Linked DNA regions of Caenorhabditis elegans. The protein of the gene in region 2 interacts with the protein of the main gene of each other region in a biochemical or structural test. Each region holds a gene or a part of one and is shown on either strand. Other genes may lie near its edges.

Region 1 (4,336 bases), 3.6 Mb from region 2:
TGTGGCATCTCCATTGTTACCATTGTCGCTGAAATTGAAGCTTTTTAATGAATATAATTTTAATTTGTTCCTTTCAGCCACACAAAATTTAAAGTGGTTCCGAATTTCAATTTTTTCCATCTAAAATCAAATAAATAACAAAAATAGGTTTCAGATTAAATGAAAGTTTTATGTGCCAGAAAGATATTGCATTTCTTAGCCAGAAATACATAAAGGCCCATGGAGTTTCAAAATTGTACAGAACAAAAATAAATTTTCATTTTTTGGAGGAAATCAGCTGAATTATATTTGGAAATTTCGGGTCGAGAGACAAGAAAAGTATTTCAATTTTTTTTTAATCTTAATGAACTCTTACCTAATGTGGATAATGCAACAGAAATGAATTTCGATGGGTCACTGCAGTAAAGTGAATCGGCAAGATGTAAGGCACATAGTCTAACACCGGATTTTTCCAAAAAGCGGATAACTTTCCATAGTTCGCCTTCGCTTTTGTATAGTTCCAACTGTCCGGGACAATCAATTATCAGATATTTCTTGTGATTCGCTTCGATTTTCTGAAAAAAGATTTAATTGAATATTAAAACTACAAAGAGGTTAAAAATGATTTCCGATTTTCTCGATTCAAATTTAGAGAATTCCAGATTTTAGCTCAATTGTTGTGAAAACAATTTTTAGCTTTTGAGAATTAACTTTTTCTGCCAAAAAAATTACCTGGAGGAGCCAATTACAATTAGCTCCAAGTGTTTCAATACAGTATTTGAGAGCTCCATTTGGTCCAAGTCCAAGTCGATCCATTACATCATTCACAGTGATCATTTCCTAAACTTTAGTATTTTAAATGAAAAATATGACCTTAAGTATTAAAATAACATTGATAGATGATCTGTACCACGTTTCATAATTATTGTCCTATATTCATTGGAATAAAATACTTACAGTGATATTTACATCAGGTGCGTATGCCATTGTGTCATTAGCAGGATCAAGATTGATAGTGAGAAATGGTCGTTTGGTTTGTGAGAAAATGTCCGTTAATCCTGCACAAAATGTAGATTTTCCAGCTCCAGGAGCTCCAATTACAAGAACTCCGTACATAGTCCAATGAGTACTGAAATTTTCTAGTTGAATCTTAATTTTCTACGGATTGTTTTGATAGGAAAACATTTAAGAAGAACAAAAATATATAAATACAATTTAATTTAATTTAAAACAAACAAAAAAGCAGGATAAACGGGCCTGGCACAGGGCCAAGTACGCATTTACACCGTACATGACGACATATTGCGGACCATTGCATTTTGCCGCGTTAATTTTTTATTTAAACGGCTTGCATTTCTCCTTACTATCCAGCTGACAATTTTTAGTTTCTTTAGAATTATTTGCAATCAAAACTCGTTTTTTGTAAACATATTTACTCAGGTAATGTGTTGATTTCTCACTTTTTTTTGAAATCAAAGCAGAATTAGTCCTATTTTTATTCTACATAAATATCTAAATGTATTCAATTAAAAATTGGGCCATTGAACTTCTAATTAATTCAATTTATAAATTTATCGTGATGTTTTCTTTTAGTTAATTTGTCCTTAATCGTGCCGTCTATTTTATTTCTTCATAAAAAACTTTTCAGTTCCGACATGGAGAATAAGCCACCTGTAATCAACCTTCCAGAGAAGGAAACTGTGAATACTCCACAGAAGGGAGGGTAAGAAATCAAGGTTTTAAAAGTTTATAAATTATTCTTGATTTTACAGAAAATTTACTATTAACGATTTCGAGATCGGAAGACCACTGGGAAAAGGAAAATTCGGCAGTGTTTACCTGGCTCGCACAAAAACTGGACATTTCCATGTAGCGATCAAGGTAACATATTGATTTATTTTGTATTTATTTGAATTATCATTTTTCTGACATCCGTTTTACCCATACATATTTTCAGGTTCTATTCAAATCGCAACTCATCTCAGGAGGCGTCGAGCATCAATTGGAGCGTGAAATTGAGATTCAATCTCATTTGAATCACCCGAATATTATCAAGCTCTACACATATTTTTGGGATGCGAAGAAGATCTATCTCGTTTTGGAATATGCCCCCGGAGGCGAAATGTACAAGCAATTGACAGTGAGCAAGAGATTCTCAGAGCCAACAGCTGCAAAATATATGTATGAGATCGCAGATGCTTTGTCATATTGCCACAGGAAAAATGTGATTCATCGCGACATTAAACCGGAGAATTTGCTTATCGGATCACAAGGAGAATTGAAAATTGGAGATTTTGGATGGAGTGTTCATGCTCCTTCGAATAAGTGAGTTTATCCTCAAATTTAGGAAATCTAGATGTTTCCAAAAATTCACTGTCATGTTTTCAGGCGCCAAACAATGTGCGGAACAATGGACTATCTCCCTCCTGAAATGGTGAATGGAGCCGATCACAGTGACGCAGTTGACTTATGGGCAATCGGCGTTCTCTGCTATGAGTTTCTCGTTGGAAAACCCCCATTCGAGCACGAAGATCAGTCCAAGACATATGCGGCAATCAAAGCGGCACGGTTTACTTACCCTGATTCTGTGAAGAAGGGTGCACGAGATTTGATTGGAAGATTGCTTGTCGTTGATCCCAAGGCTCGCTGTACGCTTGAACAGGTTTGTTATTGATTTCAGCTTAGTGGCCAACATATTATCAGCACACAGAAGTACACTTTTGTAGTGTTCTTAATTATCATAATTCATTAAATTATTACAGGTGAAGGAACACTACTGGATCCAGGGAATGATGGAGGCAAAAATTAGAGCTGAGAAGCAGCAAAAGATTGAAAAAGAAGCAAGTCTTCGGAATCACTGATCAACTACTGATTTTCCCGTCCTTCTTTCAATCATCTCGTCTGTCTGTCAAATAAAGGATCTCATCACATTTACTAGAAATTTTAAAAAGTGAAATAACTTGTCAACCAATTTTTCATGTAGTTTTTGTTTCGCGAACTCTATTATTCCCAATCGTCTAACCCCATTCATTCAACATAAATTTATTTTCTTTTCTCGTTCTCCATCTTTCTCAATATATCTACAACAACTCAATTAGTACCTCCCGAGATTTTCTCCTTTTTCAGATGTCGCGTAGACTCGCACTCGGAGCAGCTGCTTCTTTTCGTTGAGGTTCATTTGCATTTTTAGATTTTTGAGAAAAAAAAAAAAATAAAATTTAAAAGCGACAAGAAAATTTCGATTTTCTTTAGGATTATTTTATCACACCGTGCGACTTTATAGTCCCAAAAGGAAAAATAACAACTAAGCTTAGTACTGAGTACACTTGAAATTTCAAAACATGAGGTTTTTGAAATTCACGTGCTCCAACAATTTCAAGCACTTCTTGTGCCCTTTTTAAGTCCTCGAAAACTTATAATTTTTTCAGTAAGTGGTGCGGGGACATTTTCAAAAAGTTGTTTTTCTCAAACAAAGCATATTTCACAAGATGTCATTCTGGACAACAAAAAATTAAATTAAATTTTTAAATTACAGGGAACTTTTACCGATTAAGCGCGGGCGGTGTAATTATAGGTTTCGATGATGTGGTACTTTGGCTATAATTTAGTTATACAACTAGAATTTTCTAATTTTTTTATTTTCTTTCGAGATTTCTGAGAACACATTTTTATTTGAGAACTCATGCTAATTGCTGAACCGTTTTCTCCGATTTCTTCAAAAATCTCACATTTTTTGTCTGATTAAGAAAATTAAAGTTTCATTTTTCACTTGTGAATAACGCATCTTTTGAAATCAGAATGCAATCGCGCTCCAACGCCAAATAGAAAGACTCCGCCCCGATAATTTGGGTCTCGTTAGGTATTTGCGGAAAATACGTAAATGTATTATTTTTCCAAAATTTTCATTCAGTTTCGTTGATTTCACTCGTTTTCAATCATTTTTTCGTGAAATTTTGTTGTTCATTTTATTATAGCAAAATATAGCCAAAAATAGCCAAAAATTCGAAAATTCTATTAAACTAGGGTAATCGACGAAAATAGCCAAAAGTATGACTGGCGGAGCACTCTGATTCCAATGTTTGTGAACCTTATGATTTTTCAATTAATGAACCTGAAATTTCGACGTACTTAGCTAACTGAATAATCAATTAAAAATAGTCCAAGTAGTGACGTCTCACTTTTTTTCGAATGCGGATATTGAAAAATCAGCTGCTGCCGAATCGACAATCATCGATCTCCTAACACTCTTCTTACCTGAAACTTCTTGAGTCACGGTTATTTTCAACAAAAAATGATTTTTTTATGTGTTGGTTTCTGCGTTTATTCGTATTTGGAACTATGTAGAAGTCAAGTACGA
Region 2 (5,407 bases):
GCTTCGTTTTTGCGATTTTTGTCTTGAACTTGACAGTTTTCCATCTAATTTGAGTGAAATAGAACGATTGTGAGGATTGTCGCAGACAGCTCATTCTGAATTAAATTTACTTATTCAAGTAATTTTAGAAAAAAAAAGGGAAAATTGGTAAAACTGATGAAATAAAAGGTTTTAGGACCAAATTAAAAACAAAATAAATTGGGATTTCTACCGGTTAATCACAGATTTATATTCAAAAATATGTAGTTCAATAATAGTTAAACATAAGAAATATATAATAATACTCAATTACAAGCTCCATTGCGCCTTGTAAGTTCGAATTTTGCCATCACGACAACATGTATAAATATTCTTCTGATAAATCGCCATATCGTACACCGGCTCACAATCGGCACCGGTTAGCTCGTACTCGGCGGAGATGATGCTTGACGAGGTGGGAAGGGAAAGGATCGGAAAGGCGAGAACATTTCCGGTGGCTGAAAATTAATTTATTTTTTAAATATAAAGTTTGAAGCTCATATTTTCTCACTGAATGATGCAATTAGTCGATTGCAATAGTATTTGAGGCAGGTGACGCTTCCTTTTTTGGTGACAATTTCCCCGATTAACCGGCGATCCGACACGTTATAGGCCGCCACGTGGCCATCCTCAAACCCGACGAACACCGCTTTTCCACCTTCATCTCCGGAAAAACAGAGAGCCGTAGGAACGGAAGGAAGCTGAATATCACGCCGAATCTTGTCGCCGTGCAGATCAATCGCTGATAGGAAATTGTTTTCGCAGATGACAGCGAATCTCGAGTCATCCACTGACATTGCCATGTCAATGCATTTTCCCTTCTCGAAGCTCCATGTTTCGGTTGGCGCAGCATTTTTGCAGCTCCAAAATCGTACTGTTCCGTCGTTGGAGCACGAGAGGAACTCTCGTCCAACTCCGATGATCCCGAAGCCTGTTACTGCCTTTGTGTGCCCGACGAACGTCTTCTGAGCCGGCACTTTATCCACTGCCCATACTCTGATCGCCATATCCATTCCACCGCCAATAACGACGAGACCCGACGGGAAATACATGCAGCGGTAGATGTCCATAGTGTGGCCGGTGAGTTCTGTCTGAAAATTATTAAATTTTCAGGTGAAAATCATCAAAATTTTGCGCTAAAATATTGTTTTTAAAGACCCACTAGAGTCTCGGCAGTTCTCGAATTCGCAATGATCAGCTTTCCGCTCGAATCAGCTGCAACAAAAGTGCTTCCGGTACATGAAACGTCGAACGAGCGCGGCGCTGATTGTAGCCCTCGGAGGTTCTGCTCACTGGTAGGACCGACGAAAATTGTGGTTCTCCCTTGGAAAGTGACATGTAGATTTTTATGCTCATCGAGAGAAACATCAGTGAAGTCGGAAGATTTAATTGAGCCTTCCTCTGGCATCACAGCGAATCCGTACTCATCAACAAGCTTTGTGATCTGTACTTGGAAGAATTCGGTTTTCGTAGCCTCGAATTTCTTGATTCCGAGGTAGAACTGCGAGACTGGTTCTCTGAAAAAAAAATAAATTTCCATGGAAATGTATATTAATTTACCTCAAATTGAGGTGCCAATCATGTTGAATTGAAAGCGTTTCGTCAATGTTTTTCGATGGATTTTGGGCTGTTTCAGCTTCCATTTTTATCTGGAATAATCAGTTTTAGGAGGGAAAGAATACATAAAAGCGATTTTTCTCTCTGAAAACTATTAAGAATGATAAAAGAAAATATCTACCGTAGTTTGCAAAGTCGTGCCGATGCCTTTACTACCGTTTATGGCCATGCGGCTTTGATGGTAGGTTTTCGTGGTGAGATATTTAGGATTTCGCAAAGCGGGTTTTTTTGTTTTTTAGGCGAATTTCTGGGAATTTCTTAAAGTTTTATCGTGTTTTTGAGACTACTTTCGTAATTTTTGGATGAAAAATTAAAATCTATCACTTAAAAACTCAACAATTCCCGTTATAACACTCCAATCTCGTTTAAAAACCTGTTTTTTCCTTTAAAATCTTACTTTTCTCCAACTTTGTCCAGCAGTTTCTGAATAATTTGTATAGCCGAAACATCTATTTAAACATCTTTGTTTTTGTCGAATGAGGCGCTTGGCAACCCTGCTCTATTGTACACCCTACTATGTTTGCGCACGCGCGGGAATCGTTTCCATTCGAATTGTCAGCCCTCCCATTGTTTTCCCGCTCGTTTTTCGACTTTTGTTCATCTTTTCGAAAATTTTACAGAGTTTAAATCAGTTTTTTTTTCCAGAAAGATGCCACCAAAAAAGCGCGCAGTCTCGCGAAAGCCAGCCGAGCCCACCATCAAACTGTTTTCGAGTATCCCGAAAATTTCGTCGGTTTGTGTTTATGAATAATTTCTTTTGATATAAAATATTTCTTTCAGATATTCGATGAAGTAAGCGAGGCTCATGACGACGCGGCTGCAAAAGTTTTCGCAGATCTGTACAAGAGGATGTCCTCGATCACAGAAGAACTGGCCACGCCTCAATTCTCGGCGGAACAGCTATTAAATGCCGTCCTAAAACCCGGACGCATTGATGCTGAGTTTGTTGAGTTGATTTCAAGACAGGTAAGAAAATCTCAAATTTACTTTATTCCGTCAATGCTTATTTTTTTCAGAAAGCGAAACCCGCTCAACCGTCCAGTTCAAGTCACCGCGGAGATGATGATATGGAAACCGACGAAGTCGAGACAGATCAAGCAGGACCCATCACTCCACGAGCCGGCTCAGTAGCGACTGATGGTGATTTCGAAGAGGACATATTGCCAGTCACGTTGAAGCGCATGCAGCAAATGAGCATATCCAAAAAGAAGACCGAAGGAAGCATCTCACGAAATGCAGCGTACAGTGGCACTCCTCGCAGAAATCCACCGCGTGAGGCTCACAATCAAGCTACTCCGCGCAACATTTTCTCGTCAACACCTGGACGTATGGCAGGAACTCCCGGCCGTGCAGCTGTGGTTCCAAGGACGCCCCATCGTGTGATTCCGTTCAATGATGCAGAAAAAGATCCGAATGCAAGGATGAAGCATGCTGATGAGCTCCGGATGAAAGAGCTCGAGAAGAAAAGGGAGAAAGCACGGAAGGACGAGGAGAAGCGGAATGCTGTCATGGAGCGCAGAAAAGAGCAGGAAAGAGTTCGTCAGGAAAAGCTCGACCAGTTGAAGCAAAAGGAAGAGCGTAATGCTAATTTGGCGAAACTTCACAACAGTGCAAAGTCGCCAACAAGAGCTCGTTTGATGCAAGACCATGCTCCAAACAAGGCTGCAAGTAGAAAAATCTTCCCAACGGCGGAAAGCACATCCACTCCTGGTCGAGGCCCTGCTAAGAAGGGAAAAGTTGAGATTCTAATTGGCTCAGATGGACAGAAGACTGCTCCTGTGGCTCAGCCGACCGTTGAACTATCGGTGAGTATTTACTTGATTGTATTTTCCTAATAATAATTTAACTCATTTCAGCCTTCCCGAGAATTGCAACGAAACGGTAGCCGGCAAGTCAAAATGGAGCCGATGAGCTGTGATGATTCAACTCCACCGGCGCGTCAACATAAACCAAAGGCGAAAGCGACGAAACGATCGGCCCACGCAGCTTCGTCTTCTACATCAAATGTTGAAGCTGCTGCCGCACTTGCCGCTCTTCAGGAACAGCAACGTATTCAGCTGGAACAGGAGCAGTATCTGCTACAGTTAGCAGAAGATGAACGACGAAAGCGGGAGCAGAAGGAAATGAAAGAGAAAGCGGAGAAGGAGCGTCAACTCAGAGCTCGAGAAGAGCAGGAGCATTTTCTGGCCGTTCAGAGAGAAGAGCAAGCTCAGCTGGAGAAGCAAAGAGAGCGAGAAGAGGCAGAGCTCCAGGCAACACTCGCAAGATGCGCGGAGAAACAAGCTCGTCAGGAAGCTCTTCGAAAAACGCCACCACCTGCAGCCTACGAAATGACTCCGCCACGTACCTATCAAAACAACTCAAAGAATGACTATGGTTTGAACGATCTTAACAGTGATGACGAGACAGATCAAGAAGATGATCCACGCAAAGATGTCCCGGCTTGGGCCGAATTCGCAGTTGTCCGTGAGAATGTCAGAAGACATGCCATTAATCCACCATTCGACGTGGCTCAATTCTTCGGATCGATTGGAAAGGTAATTGTTTTTTTTTTCTTGCAGCTCCTTCAGTAAAAATTTAAAAATTTTCAGCCAAATCTAAAGGAAATCTTTAGTGATGCTGTCAAAGTCAAGAAGCGCGGATCGTCAGCAGTGTGGAAAAAGAGTCCATCAACGTTAAACACGTCGTCTCGCACAATTCTTCAAGACATTTCGGAATGATGTTGTACCGAAGCAGCTTACATCGCCAGGAGTCGCTCCAGCATGCGACATAATCTTTTTTCAAAAATTGTAAAATGTTTTTATATTTCGTATTGAGTTATTTTTTATTTTCAATGTTTCCCCCTTTTTAACGGAGAATACAAAAACTCCATCGGCCCTAACTTTACATTAAATTTTTTTTTCGCTGTAAATAATAATTCTTCAGCCGATTTTTATTTTATTGTTCACTCATTGATTAACGTGTTCTGAATTCACGAGTTTATTTATTTATTTATTTTTCTATCAGTTAGAATTCAAATTATCATTTATTTCTTTCTTATAGGATGAGCAAAAGTCAAACCATTCAGGAATTCGATGAGAATTTCTTCAGCAGCTTTGCTGTACCGAAAGTCAAGGACTATTCGAGATTATCGAGCTCGCCGAGCAGAGACCAGCCGTGTGAGACGTCATACTTCGAAAATCACTTTCGTAAGACTATTCAAATATTATTTTTCATAATAAAGTTTTAATTTCCAGCAAGCCTGGAATGCGACACGCCGGTCAAAATGCAACTTCCCAAGACGAAGCGGGAATCCGATGATGATCTCCCATCTCCAACTATCGATAATCTTCTTTCGTCTTCATCGGAATCCACTGTAATCAACGCAAGTCAAAATGACAACACAGAAGAGAAGCAGCAGCAACCAATCAGAGAACCACTCAAAATCGTGCCAAACGAGGACGCATCAGCTTCAGGAAGCGGTGGAGAAAATCAGCTAATCGAGGGACTTGAGAAATTGTCAATGTTTGCACCAAAAGCTCCAGAGGAACGTCTTTCGCAGCGTCGCCGTTCAGAGCAGAGAAAGAAAGAAGAGGAAGATAAGAGGACATCCGTCATTGCTCCAGCGTCCGGAACTCGTTCTCGCTCGATCAGCACGAAACGTTCAATGTCGCGTGAGCCAGCTGCAGCAGCTCCACGAGCACCATCTGTGCCACGTCCACCTCACAATTCTGTCACTCGCACCATCTCCGCGCCAATTGCAAATACCGGACCAGGTGTCATTACTCGTGCG
Region 3 (5,218 bases), on a different chromosome or scaffold from region 2:
ATAAGTGGTTCCAAGACATATTCGTAGATCCTTTCTGGTTCAAGAAGAAGATTCAAATCTCCTGTTTTTACAGCAATTGAAATAAGCCCGTGATAAAGTGAAAGGCATTGCCGAACTTCTGGGACTGGAAGGAGATCATAGTGTGGTGATGTCATCTTTCTCATAAGTCCGTCCACGTGATGATTTATACCGGCAATACATACTTGACGAACTGTTTTGACGAGATCTGCGAGCATTATTGTAAAATAACTATCTTTTCGAATCAAAGTCTCGAACTTGTTTGCATAGAAAATTAAAATATTTCCCATTTTGAAAATTGTGATGGCATTTTTTTCTGTCGACAGCAGTTGCTCTACCCTAATCTGTAAACTATTATCATATATTATAGTCCAATAATTTAAACTTTTTACCTTGAACGGCGAAGTCAAAGATTTCAGGCATTCATCAAGAACGATCGGAAGATTTTCTGCGGAACAAATTGAGCTGAACAACTGTTTTTCTTGCTCCGTGAGCTCGTGAATCGAAGTCAGCATATCTCCAACTGCCTTCAGTGGTTCTGCCAACCCTTCAGGCATTTGGACAGCCATTTTGTTAATTTCAACAAACTGATTGAGCAATTCTTGTGAGCGAGATGAAATGTATTGGTCTGAAAACTAGGTTAATGGTGAGTAGATTTGAAGAACTAAACGTACCAATGGCAAGCTGGAATACAGCATCATTCTGACTTATGATTTTGAAAGCTTTAGAAAGAATTTGCTTTTTCTGATGAGAATCAACTGTCAGATTTTGAAATTCGCGTTTCAGATTGTTACAGATAATTGCATGGCTTCTTTCGTCAATTTTTTGCATTTTTTCCATCACTTCAAAAGCGGCAAGATGTCCTTGCTCCTGAACCATATTTCTGCAGTTCTCGCGAATTTCGTGGCACCTCTCAAGAACTTTGAAGAAAAATTCCGATAGATGACCACTTTGTTCACATTCGTCTAATTCTCGAAGCTCTTCACTTGATAAAGAATAGTTTTCGAGAAATTCATTTATCATATTACAACGGCTTTCTATACTCGCTTTCTTCTCCTTCAAGCTTGCTGTTTTCTGCACCAAATCAACACTTTTGAACTTTACAGTCTCCATTTGCTTTGATAAATTCGTGCATGTGGAGTTCATTTTTACACAGAGCTCATCGAATTTTTGCACAATGTTATTTATCTGAAATAGCAGATTTAAAATGAAATGATTTCAGGTTTATTCTAACTTTTTCGAACTCGCTCAAATATTCCTTGTTTAGTCTCAACTCGTATCGTTCTAGTTTATTGTGTAGTTTCCTATCAACATTTGAATCAAGGTTCATATCTTCGACCAGTGGAGTGATGAAATCAGCAATTTTGATGCAATCCTGTAAGAAATGCCATAAGTTTCGTTTGTAATTAATATTTTAGCTGACCTTGTCATTATACAGCTTCTTTGCACATGCAGTAGTCACTTTTTCTCGTAAAGGATTGACTGCTGATGAAGTTTTATCGATTACTGACATTTTATTGATTCAAATTCACCGAATTCTGCGAAAAAAATCGCAGAACTCAGTGGAATAGAAAATGCAGAATTGATTTATTCGCAACGTGTCAGCAACGACACTCCGAAATAACAGAGCGCGTGTTGTTTAGCAATGCCGCTCAACAACCCGCCAAGCAAAATTCATTCAAAGTGACTGCCTTTGTTCTAATTTTTGACGTGTTCTTGAATTAGTCGCGATTTTCTTTTTCCTTTCTCATTAAATTTTTTATTCCTCAATTTTATTATAATATTTCAACTCGCAGAATTACATTAATCATGAGCGGAAAGGAAAATACTGCTCCTGTGATAGACGATCAGAAGGCCGAGGTAATTGTTATTAAAATTAGAAAGGCATCAATTCTAATCTTCAGGTTATTTCACTTACGGAAGATAGCAGACCTCAGAGAGTTGACCAGGCAAGGGAAGAATCATGGTGAGAATAATTGATTTATTACTTTTACAATGTAATGGACTTTAGCTGGAGTCTTGATGATTTTGACGTTGGACGGCCTCTCGGAAAAGGAAAGTTTGGAAACGTTTTCATCTCTCGTGAAAAAAAGACCAAGCGAATCATAGCTTTGAAAGTACTCTTCAAAACACAGTTGCTTCAACTTGGAGTCAGTCATCAGTTGAAGAGAGAGATCGAAATTCAATATCATTTGCGGTATGTTTTCTCGAAGTCATCTCATCCAAATCAATTAATCAATATTATTTCAGTCATCCGAATATTCTCACTCTTTATGGATACTTTCACGATGACAAGCGTGTGTTCGTCATTCTCGACTATGCCAGCAGAGGAGAATTATTTAATGTCCTCCAATCACAACCTGGACACAAAGTGAATGAGGTCATTGCCGGAAGGTGTGATTTTGTAGATATTTCAGAAATATAGTAAATTTCCTCAGATTTGTGCGACAGCTGGCCAATGCGTTGCATTACTGCCATTCGAAAGGAGTTATTCACAGAGACATTAAGCCTGAAAATCTTCTTCTTGATTCGAAGCTCAATCTGAAGGTACGCGTATAAATATGGTTAACTAAGTACTCAAAAAGTCTTCTGCAATGTTCTCAGTGCATCCTTTGGTTCTCCGAGCCGAAAGAAGTCACTAGCTGAAAAAGAGTTTATACTCTGATCACACAGTAACATTGCAATAAAAGCTTAGCTCGAGATGCGTGTGCCGTTCTGCTTTTAATGCGATCTGGTTCCTTTTCTCCTCGGGACAATTACCGTAAAAATTAAATTCAACACATTTTATGCATTCTTTCTAAAAAATAAGACTTGTATTTCAGCTTGCCGATTTCGGATGGTCCGTCGTTGCTGATCACTCGAAACGCCATACATTGTGCGGTACCATGGATTATCTTGCTCCGGAAATGGTTTCCAATCAGCCACATGACTTTAATGTTGACATTTGGGCAATTGGAATTCTTCTCTTCGAAATGCTTGTTGGATATGCTCCGTTCGCCAATCAAACTGGTGATAAATTGATCGCCAGAATCAAGGAGTGCAAGATTTATGTTAGTAATTATGAACTAAATTTGTTAGAATCTTAATAAGCAGTTCTCCAACAGAAATATGTGCATGAAGTGATGGTTTGGGTAACCATTTCATCTTTTCATGTCATATATCTCCTGCCTCTCACGGTTTCATCTGTGAGAAGCTTCAAAGAACTGCAATAGAAGTCTAGCTCGAGATGCGTGTGCCGGTTTGCTTTTAATGCAATATGGTTCCTTTTCTCCTCGGGACAGTTCTCAAACATTCATTTCCATTTTGTTTCCCAAGTAGTTTCATCTAAATTGCTTCTTTTTTGCAGATTCCAAGTGTTGTGACTGACGGAGCTGCCAGTTTGATAAATGCAATAATCAAAAAGGAACCCCAAGAACGTCTCCCACTTGTTGACATCATGGCTCATCCGTGGATTAAGGAAATGAAGCAACGCGAAGACATTGAAGTTCCACTCTTCATTTCGACGCTCACGAAATCCAGTCGCAATAATTCTACAGCCAATCAATAAAAGCTCTGTCTATTGTCCATTAAAGTCTCAACCTTTTCTACTTGTCTTTCCAAACAATTATCATCTGCACTTTCCCTTCTTTAGAACCGTATATCATACGGCTACTAACTTCTTATTTTCGCTAATCCATTTAAGCAATTTATCCGTTTTCATCCTTTTGTTTCTTCTCACACTGACAACGAGAAGGATTTAAATTTATCTAAATCAATTATTCTTTATTTGTGTGTGTGTAAAATCATTAGATTCCCGTGAAAGTACTGTATCGTGTGTTCCCGTCTGCCCCATTAATTTTTTCCCAAATTTCGCATCCAAGTGTCTCGATTATCACATAAACGATGGTGCACCTCTTTGTTCATTGGTTCTCAGAAGAAATACAATGCTTTCTGCTAAAAGCCAAAACTCAAACAGTGGTGGCGGTAAGTAGAAGGCTGCCGCCTTTTTTGGCACTGTTTTGTTCCGCCAAAAAAGTAGCATGGTATGCAAACATTATAACGAGTTAACACTACATTGGTAGGAGTGGGAACGTTTTTTGGAACAGCTAAAGTTTGAAACATAAAGCGGAGGTTTAACAACGTTAAGTGGTATCTGGCAGAGAGCCTTAAATATCGTACATTCGCAAAAACTTTATCCTAGCTAGGTGCTATGTGCTACATGAAAAATTCTAGTTTTTTCTGTACATTTCAGAATTTCAAAATTCGTATAGTACATTTTCCATATCAAATGAAAAAATCTGTAAATTTTGGAACCTCACTATGACTGAGTTCGTGCCGAGACCCACTCAGGAAAACATCGTGTGCCTTTTAACTGATATCTCAGCATTTCGTGAAAATACAATATAAACATTTCTTTCTAATGTTTAATAATAACTGTAATCCTTGAAATGAACTGATCAATTAGATACTAGAATAATGCACAAAAATGTTTAATATTTGCGCGAATAACTGGTCGTTACCATCTGGTTGTTACATATCCGGTGATTACTAACCATTTATTTGATGGAGATTTGGATATATGTAGTCAATTTAGGTGAGTACAAACAAGATGACCCGTAGATATGCACTAGAGGTGTTTGTCAAGTGGTTGATTGGATATGACGATATTACGTTGCTCAATTTTTTGAATTTTTATATTTATCTGTTTTCATAAACAATTTAGCAGCTAGAAAAAAACAGTGACATTTCTCAGGTGTCCGTGTGTTCCATGCCTTCGAAATCGAAGAAAATCACGCAGTCGTTGGTGGAAAAGCAATGCCGTCACATGTGGACTGAGATGTACTAAAAAACCTAAGAATAAATACCGTATCAACACCTGGATTTGACAAGTTTATGTCAAAACAGTTTATTCTTCAGAAATTAACACCACAGGAGTCTATAGGCTTCGAAAAGATTTGTGACGTCAGATATTTAAACCACGAGCTTCCACGACTTCAGATGTTAAAACACACCCGTGTAACTTCATCCTTAAATGGAATCATGGGTAAAACATTGTCAAGTTCAACTGCCTACAGTAACCAACAATCATATTCCCACCGGCTGGTTCCTATTTGGCAAAGTCCCATCGTTTCCCCCTAATAATCTCAACAAATACCTATGCAGCTACTGTTTGCCCCCCCCCCCTTGCCTTATAATAGGCGGAGCCTTGAGAGCTTTGAGA
Region 4 (3,942 bases), on a different chromosome or scaffold from region 2:
CTGGTAATCTGATCATTCAGCTCCGAAGGATAAGAAGGGTACCTCCTGGTGATCTGATCCTTCAGCTCCGAAGGATAAGAAGAGTACCTCCTGGTAATCTGATCATTCAGCTCCGAAGGATAAGAAGGGTACCTCCTGGTGATCTGATCCTTCAGCTCCGAAGGATCAGAAGGGTACCTCCTGGTGATCTGATCATTCAGCTCCGAAGGATAAGAAGAGTACCTCCTGGTAATCTGATCATTCAGCTCCGAAGGATAAGAAGGGTACCTCCTGGTGATCTGATCCTTCAGCTTCAAAGGATAAGAAGGGTACCTCCTGGTGATCTGATCATTCAGCTCCGAAGGATAAGAAGAGTACCTCCTGGTAATCTGATCATTCAGCTCCGAAGGATAAGAAGGGTACCTCCTGGTGATCTGATCCTTCAGCTCCGAAGGATCAGAAGGGTACCTCCTGGTGATCTGATCATTCAGCTCCGAAGGATAAGAAGAGTACCTCCTGGTAATCTGATCATTCAGCTCCGAAGGATAAGAAGGGTACCTCCTGGTGATCTGATCCTTCAGCTTCAAAGGATCATAAGCCGCACTTCACGCGGTTTTATTTATCTCAAACAAAAATTTTTTGGTAAAAAACTTTCAACTACAAACTTGTTCTTTACAACAATATCAACAACTTATCAGTTGATGACTTTTCTGTAAAAACTTTATCTACGGAAATATTTAATTCCGGCAATTTGCCGATTTGCCGGAAATAATCATTTACGGCAATTTGCCGATTTGCTGGAAATTTCAATTCCGGCAATTTGCCGATTTGCCGGAAATACTCAATTCCGGCAATTTGCCGAATTACCGGAAATACTCAATTCCGGCAATTTGCCGATGTTCCGGAAACATTTAATACCGGCAATTTGCCGATGTTCCGGAAACATTTAATTCCGGCAAATTACAGATTTGCCGCAAATATTCAATTCCGGCAAATTACAGATTTGCCGCAAATATTCAATTCCGGCAAATTACAGATTTGCCGGAAATCTTCAATTCCGACAGTTTGGCGTCCACCGCTGATGTAAAACACAAAAAGAATTAGCGTAAGTTGAACAAAATCGCGGATTCTTGTCAAAAACTGTTTAAATAACTAGTTCACAGTTGTCCAAGAGTAGTACAAGAAGGCTGGAAGTTTTCTTTCCGATTTTCTCTGAAAAAAAACTAATTTTTTTTCGATTTTTTGCAGTCAAATTTTTTGCAGTCTATTTAGAGAATCAAACGATCGTTGAGATCAAAAAATTTGCATATAAAAGGTAAAAGACGGGAAAAATTGAAATATCAAGTATTTACAGATCATTATAAAAATTAAAGCGGGGGAAAAATTAAATCGGGGGATTTTTCCTATACAGACGTCCCGGCATTTTCAGTTTCCGGCTGGAGAGGCCCGGCTGCTGCCGCTGCCTTCTTGCTCGCCGCACCAGATTTCTTCGACTTCTTCCGATTCTCCTTGCCAGCAGCAGTAGCAGTAGTTCTTCCAGCCAAGACCAGTGGCGATCCGTTCACCGAGAAGGCGATTTCCTCGTCAACGTGTGGAGCACGGAATGGCTTTTCCGGTTGAAGTGTTGGCAGTGGGAGCACTTGTCCAGCTGGCGTTATGATCTCGTTGCGGCGGTGCTCGTCGGCCGCCGTGTTCCTGCCGCTGAAAAAAAATTAATTTATTTATTGAGAAATCGATTTTTTTTTTGTTGAAAACTTACGAGTTCTGGCCAGATGGAGCAATCGGAATGCTCGTCTCATGCGCCGCATCGTCGTCGATTTCAGGCTCCTGCTTGACCTGCACCGTGTTCCGGCCGCTGGAAAATTTATTGATAAAAGTAAATGGCGGAAATTTGGATTTTTTTGAAAACTTACGAGTTCTGGCCAATCGGAATGCTCGTCTTTTGCGCCGCCGCCGCGTCGTCGATTTCCATGTCAGGCTCGGAAGGAAGCTCCTGCTTAACCGCCACCGCCGCTTCTCCTTCCTCCTCCTCCTCGCCGGATTCAATGTAGAAATCATCCGGTGGCGATGCCAGAAACTCCATGATCGGCATATCCCTGTATTTTGGCTTGATTGTGGCGATGATCCGGTCGGATTCAGCCTTTGCTGTCTGAAGGGCGACCTCCCGCAGCTTCTTCTTATACTCCTCGAGTAAGTCCTTGACTGGAAAATAAATTATTTAAATATAATAAATTACTGGAGATCTTCAAGCTTACCACGCGTCTCGAGAGTATCCGCCATCGCAACCACAGCCGGGTCCTTCTTGATCTTGCGTGGTGGCATTCTGAAGAAAATAATGAGAAATAATCGGAGAAAATCGAATTTTTGAGGGAAATTAACGTGAAAATTAACTTTTTTAAGGTAAAAATCACAAAAGAAATCGAAAAATGCGTGGAAAATGAGAAAAATGGCGGAAAAAATTATAAAATTAATCGAAAAATTTTCGCGCTCGCATTCGGTGTTTGCGGACTGCGTACCGTACCCCACGCGCAAAAGAAGGAAACAGGTCTGGAATAAAGATTTATAAAGACAAACTTATGAAAACATGATTTGAAATATATTTTTTACCGTTTTTCCATTTGCATACACTTGATACCAACTAGAACAATTAATTTTCACTGAAGAAAATTTCGTAGCAAGAAATTTCGCAATTTTGCCTTTTTTGCTGCAATTATTGATAATATTTCAGCTTAAAATGTATTCTGAAAGCGTCCCATGCATATTCAAATATTTATCATTTGACAAGAAGTGGGTTTTATTTTAGAATCCATTTGAAAACACGATTACAGAAGCCATCTTGCAAATTTCAACTCGATATTTCGCAAGCTTGAAAAAAAGCTTCCCTATCACTTTAATTGTATAAAAATCGATACAACAAGGGAGGACTGGCACTTTTCGATTGATAAAAAATATAATTTCAATATTCAAACTGCTCAGCTTGGCGCCAACGTTTTATTCGGTGGAGTTCAACAATTCGGAATTTTAATTGCAAGTCCTGAAGATTCACAGACTGAAACCTTTCGGAAATTGGTGGATTTCTATTTAAATCGACCAGGAACAAGTATTCATACACTGCAAATTCTGGTAATTCTTACGCGATTATGTGTGCGCCTTTAAAGAGTACTGTAATTACAAATTTTTGTGTTATCTAGTTTTTTCTATAATTTGTTGGAAATTTGGGGTTTTTAATTATTTTCTTCTAGTTTTCACAGATTTCTGGCTTCCCTCATAAATTGAAATGGAAGAGTTTAGGCCGAACTAGTCCATTTTGGCTCGGCCATATCTGGGGTAGATTTAAGGTGCGTTGCGTGTCGCGTCGCGGCTCGGTTTTAGTTGTAAAACGAAATGTACGTGTCCGTGTGGAGTACACGACTTTCCCACGCGTTGTCCAGCGGGAGATTATCAATGGAGCGCGAAAAATTCAATGAGCAAGGCCAGGATCCCGCGTGAGCAACGAAAGTTTTCAATTACAGTGCTCTTTAAAGGCGCACACCTTTTATCAATTAACGAAATTTTGTCGTGACGAGACCGTCGTGCGTTTGCAGAATCATCCATATGGTCTCGAGGCGTGCTGCCAATTGAATATTCGACACATTTTTGTAAGAATGCGGATTGAATCCCTGAGATATGACTACACGACCTGGTTTGATTGCCTCCGAGCTCGCCCGTTCGAGACGGCGGAGGTGGATTTTGTTGGAATGGATTACTTGATTCTGGCGGAGCCTGTGGTAGAGTCTGAAATTTGAAAATTCACAGAAATTTGTTGTTTCCTTCCAGATATATTCAGCCAAGAAGCTGTGTATAAAATCATCACGTGCAATTCCGATTCGCGCGATTTCAAATCTCCAATCTCCTTGGATATTCTTAGATTATAATATGACCTCCCCGAAAGTTGTAAATCTCTGCGAAAACTGGATTCAGGAC

The links.
Region 1: the proteins of icp-1 (region 2) and air-2 form a complex in vitro, tested with the Caenorhabditis elegans proteins (4 studies listed by BioGRID, with this or other methods).
Region 3: the proteins of icp-1 (region 2) and air-1 form a complex in vitro, tested with the Caenorhabditis elegans proteins (one study listed by BioGRID).
Region 4: the proteins of icp-1 (region 2) and csc-1 form a complex in vitro, tested with the Caenorhabditis elegans proteins (one study listed by BioGRID).

Annotation. Positions count from the first base shown.
Region 1 is NC_003279.8:5,935,850-5,940,185, forward strand, and holds air-2 (Aurora/IPL1-related protein kinase 2), read left to right. Parts: upstream 1-1,627; 5' UTR 1,628-1,634; coding exon 1,635-1,702; intron 1,703-1,751; coding exon 1,752-1,860; intron 1,861-1,936; coding exon 1,937-2,304; intron 2,305-2,367; coding exon 2,368-2,641; intron 2,642-2,741; coding exon 2,742-2,840; 3' UTR 2,841-3,027; downstream 3,028-4,336. Other genes in the region: B0207.6 (GPN-loop GTPase 2), read right to left, coding at 1-28, 356-554, 712-819, 937-1,095. UniProt on the Caenorhabditis elegans protein: Serine/threonine-protein kinase component of the chromosomal passenger complex (CPC), a complex that acts as a key regulator of chromosome segregation and cytokinesis.
Region 2 is NC_003279.8:2,303,664-2,309,070, reverse strand, and holds icp-1 (Inner centromere protein ARK-binding domain-containing protein), read left to right. Parts: upstream 1-2,280; 5' UTR 2,281-2,284; coding exon 2,285-2,368; intron 2,369-2,415; coding exon 2,416-2,601; intron 2,602-2,651; coding exon 2,652-3,440; intron 3,441-3,491; coding exon 3,492-4,172; intron 4,173-4,226; coding exon 4,227-4,355; 3' UTR 4,356-4,558; downstream 4,559-5,407. Other genes in the region: 5-cytosine rRNA methyltransferase nsun-4, read right to left, coding at 1-94; Y39G10AR.9 (WD_REPEATS_REGION domain-containing protein), read right to left, coding at 289-476, 530-1,109, 1,181-1,535, 1,579-1,667, 1,757-1,804; tpxl-1 (TPX2 domain-containing protein), read left to right, coding at 4,679-4,823, 4,872-5,407.
Region 3 is NC_003283.11:8,219,674-8,224,891, forward strand, and holds air-1 (Aurora kinase), read left to right. Parts: upstream 1-1,814; 5' UTR 1,815-1,827; coding exon 1,828-1,878; intron 1,879-1,922; coding exon 1,923-1,984; intron 1,985-2,029; coding exon 2,030-2,215; intron 2,216-2,268; coding exon 2,269-2,412; intron 2,413-2,456; coding exon 2,457-2,565; intron 2,566-2,607; exon of another isoform or gene 2,608-2,776; intron 2,777-2,840; coding exon 2,841-3,068; intron 3,069-3,105; exon of another isoform or gene 3,106-3,300; intron 3,301-3,364; coding exon 3,365-3,565; 3' UTR 3,566-3,909; downstream 3,910-5,218. Other genes in the region: cogc-6 (Conserved oligomeric Golgi complex subunit 6), read right to left, coding at 1-362, 411-646, 693-1,206, 1,253-1,393, 1,442-1,531.
Region 4 is NC_003280.10:13,595,315-13,599,256, reverse strand, and holds csc-1 (Chromosome segregation and cytokinesis defective protein 1), read right to left. Parts: upstream 2,303-3,942; 5' UTR 2,302-2,302; coding exon 2,235-2,301; intron 2,182-2,234; coding exon 1,893-2,181; intron 1,835-1,892; coding exon 1,739-1,834; intron 1,681-1,738; coding exon 1,383-1,680; 3' UTR 1,310-1,382; downstream 1-1,309. Other genes in the region: fbxc-23 (FTH domain-containing protein), read left to right, coding at 2,714-2,766, 2,808-3,102, 3,564-3,746, 3,796-3,942. UniProt on the Caenorhabditis elegans protein: Component of the chromosomal passenger complex (CPC), a complex that acts as a key regulator of chromosome segregation and cytokinesis during mitosis.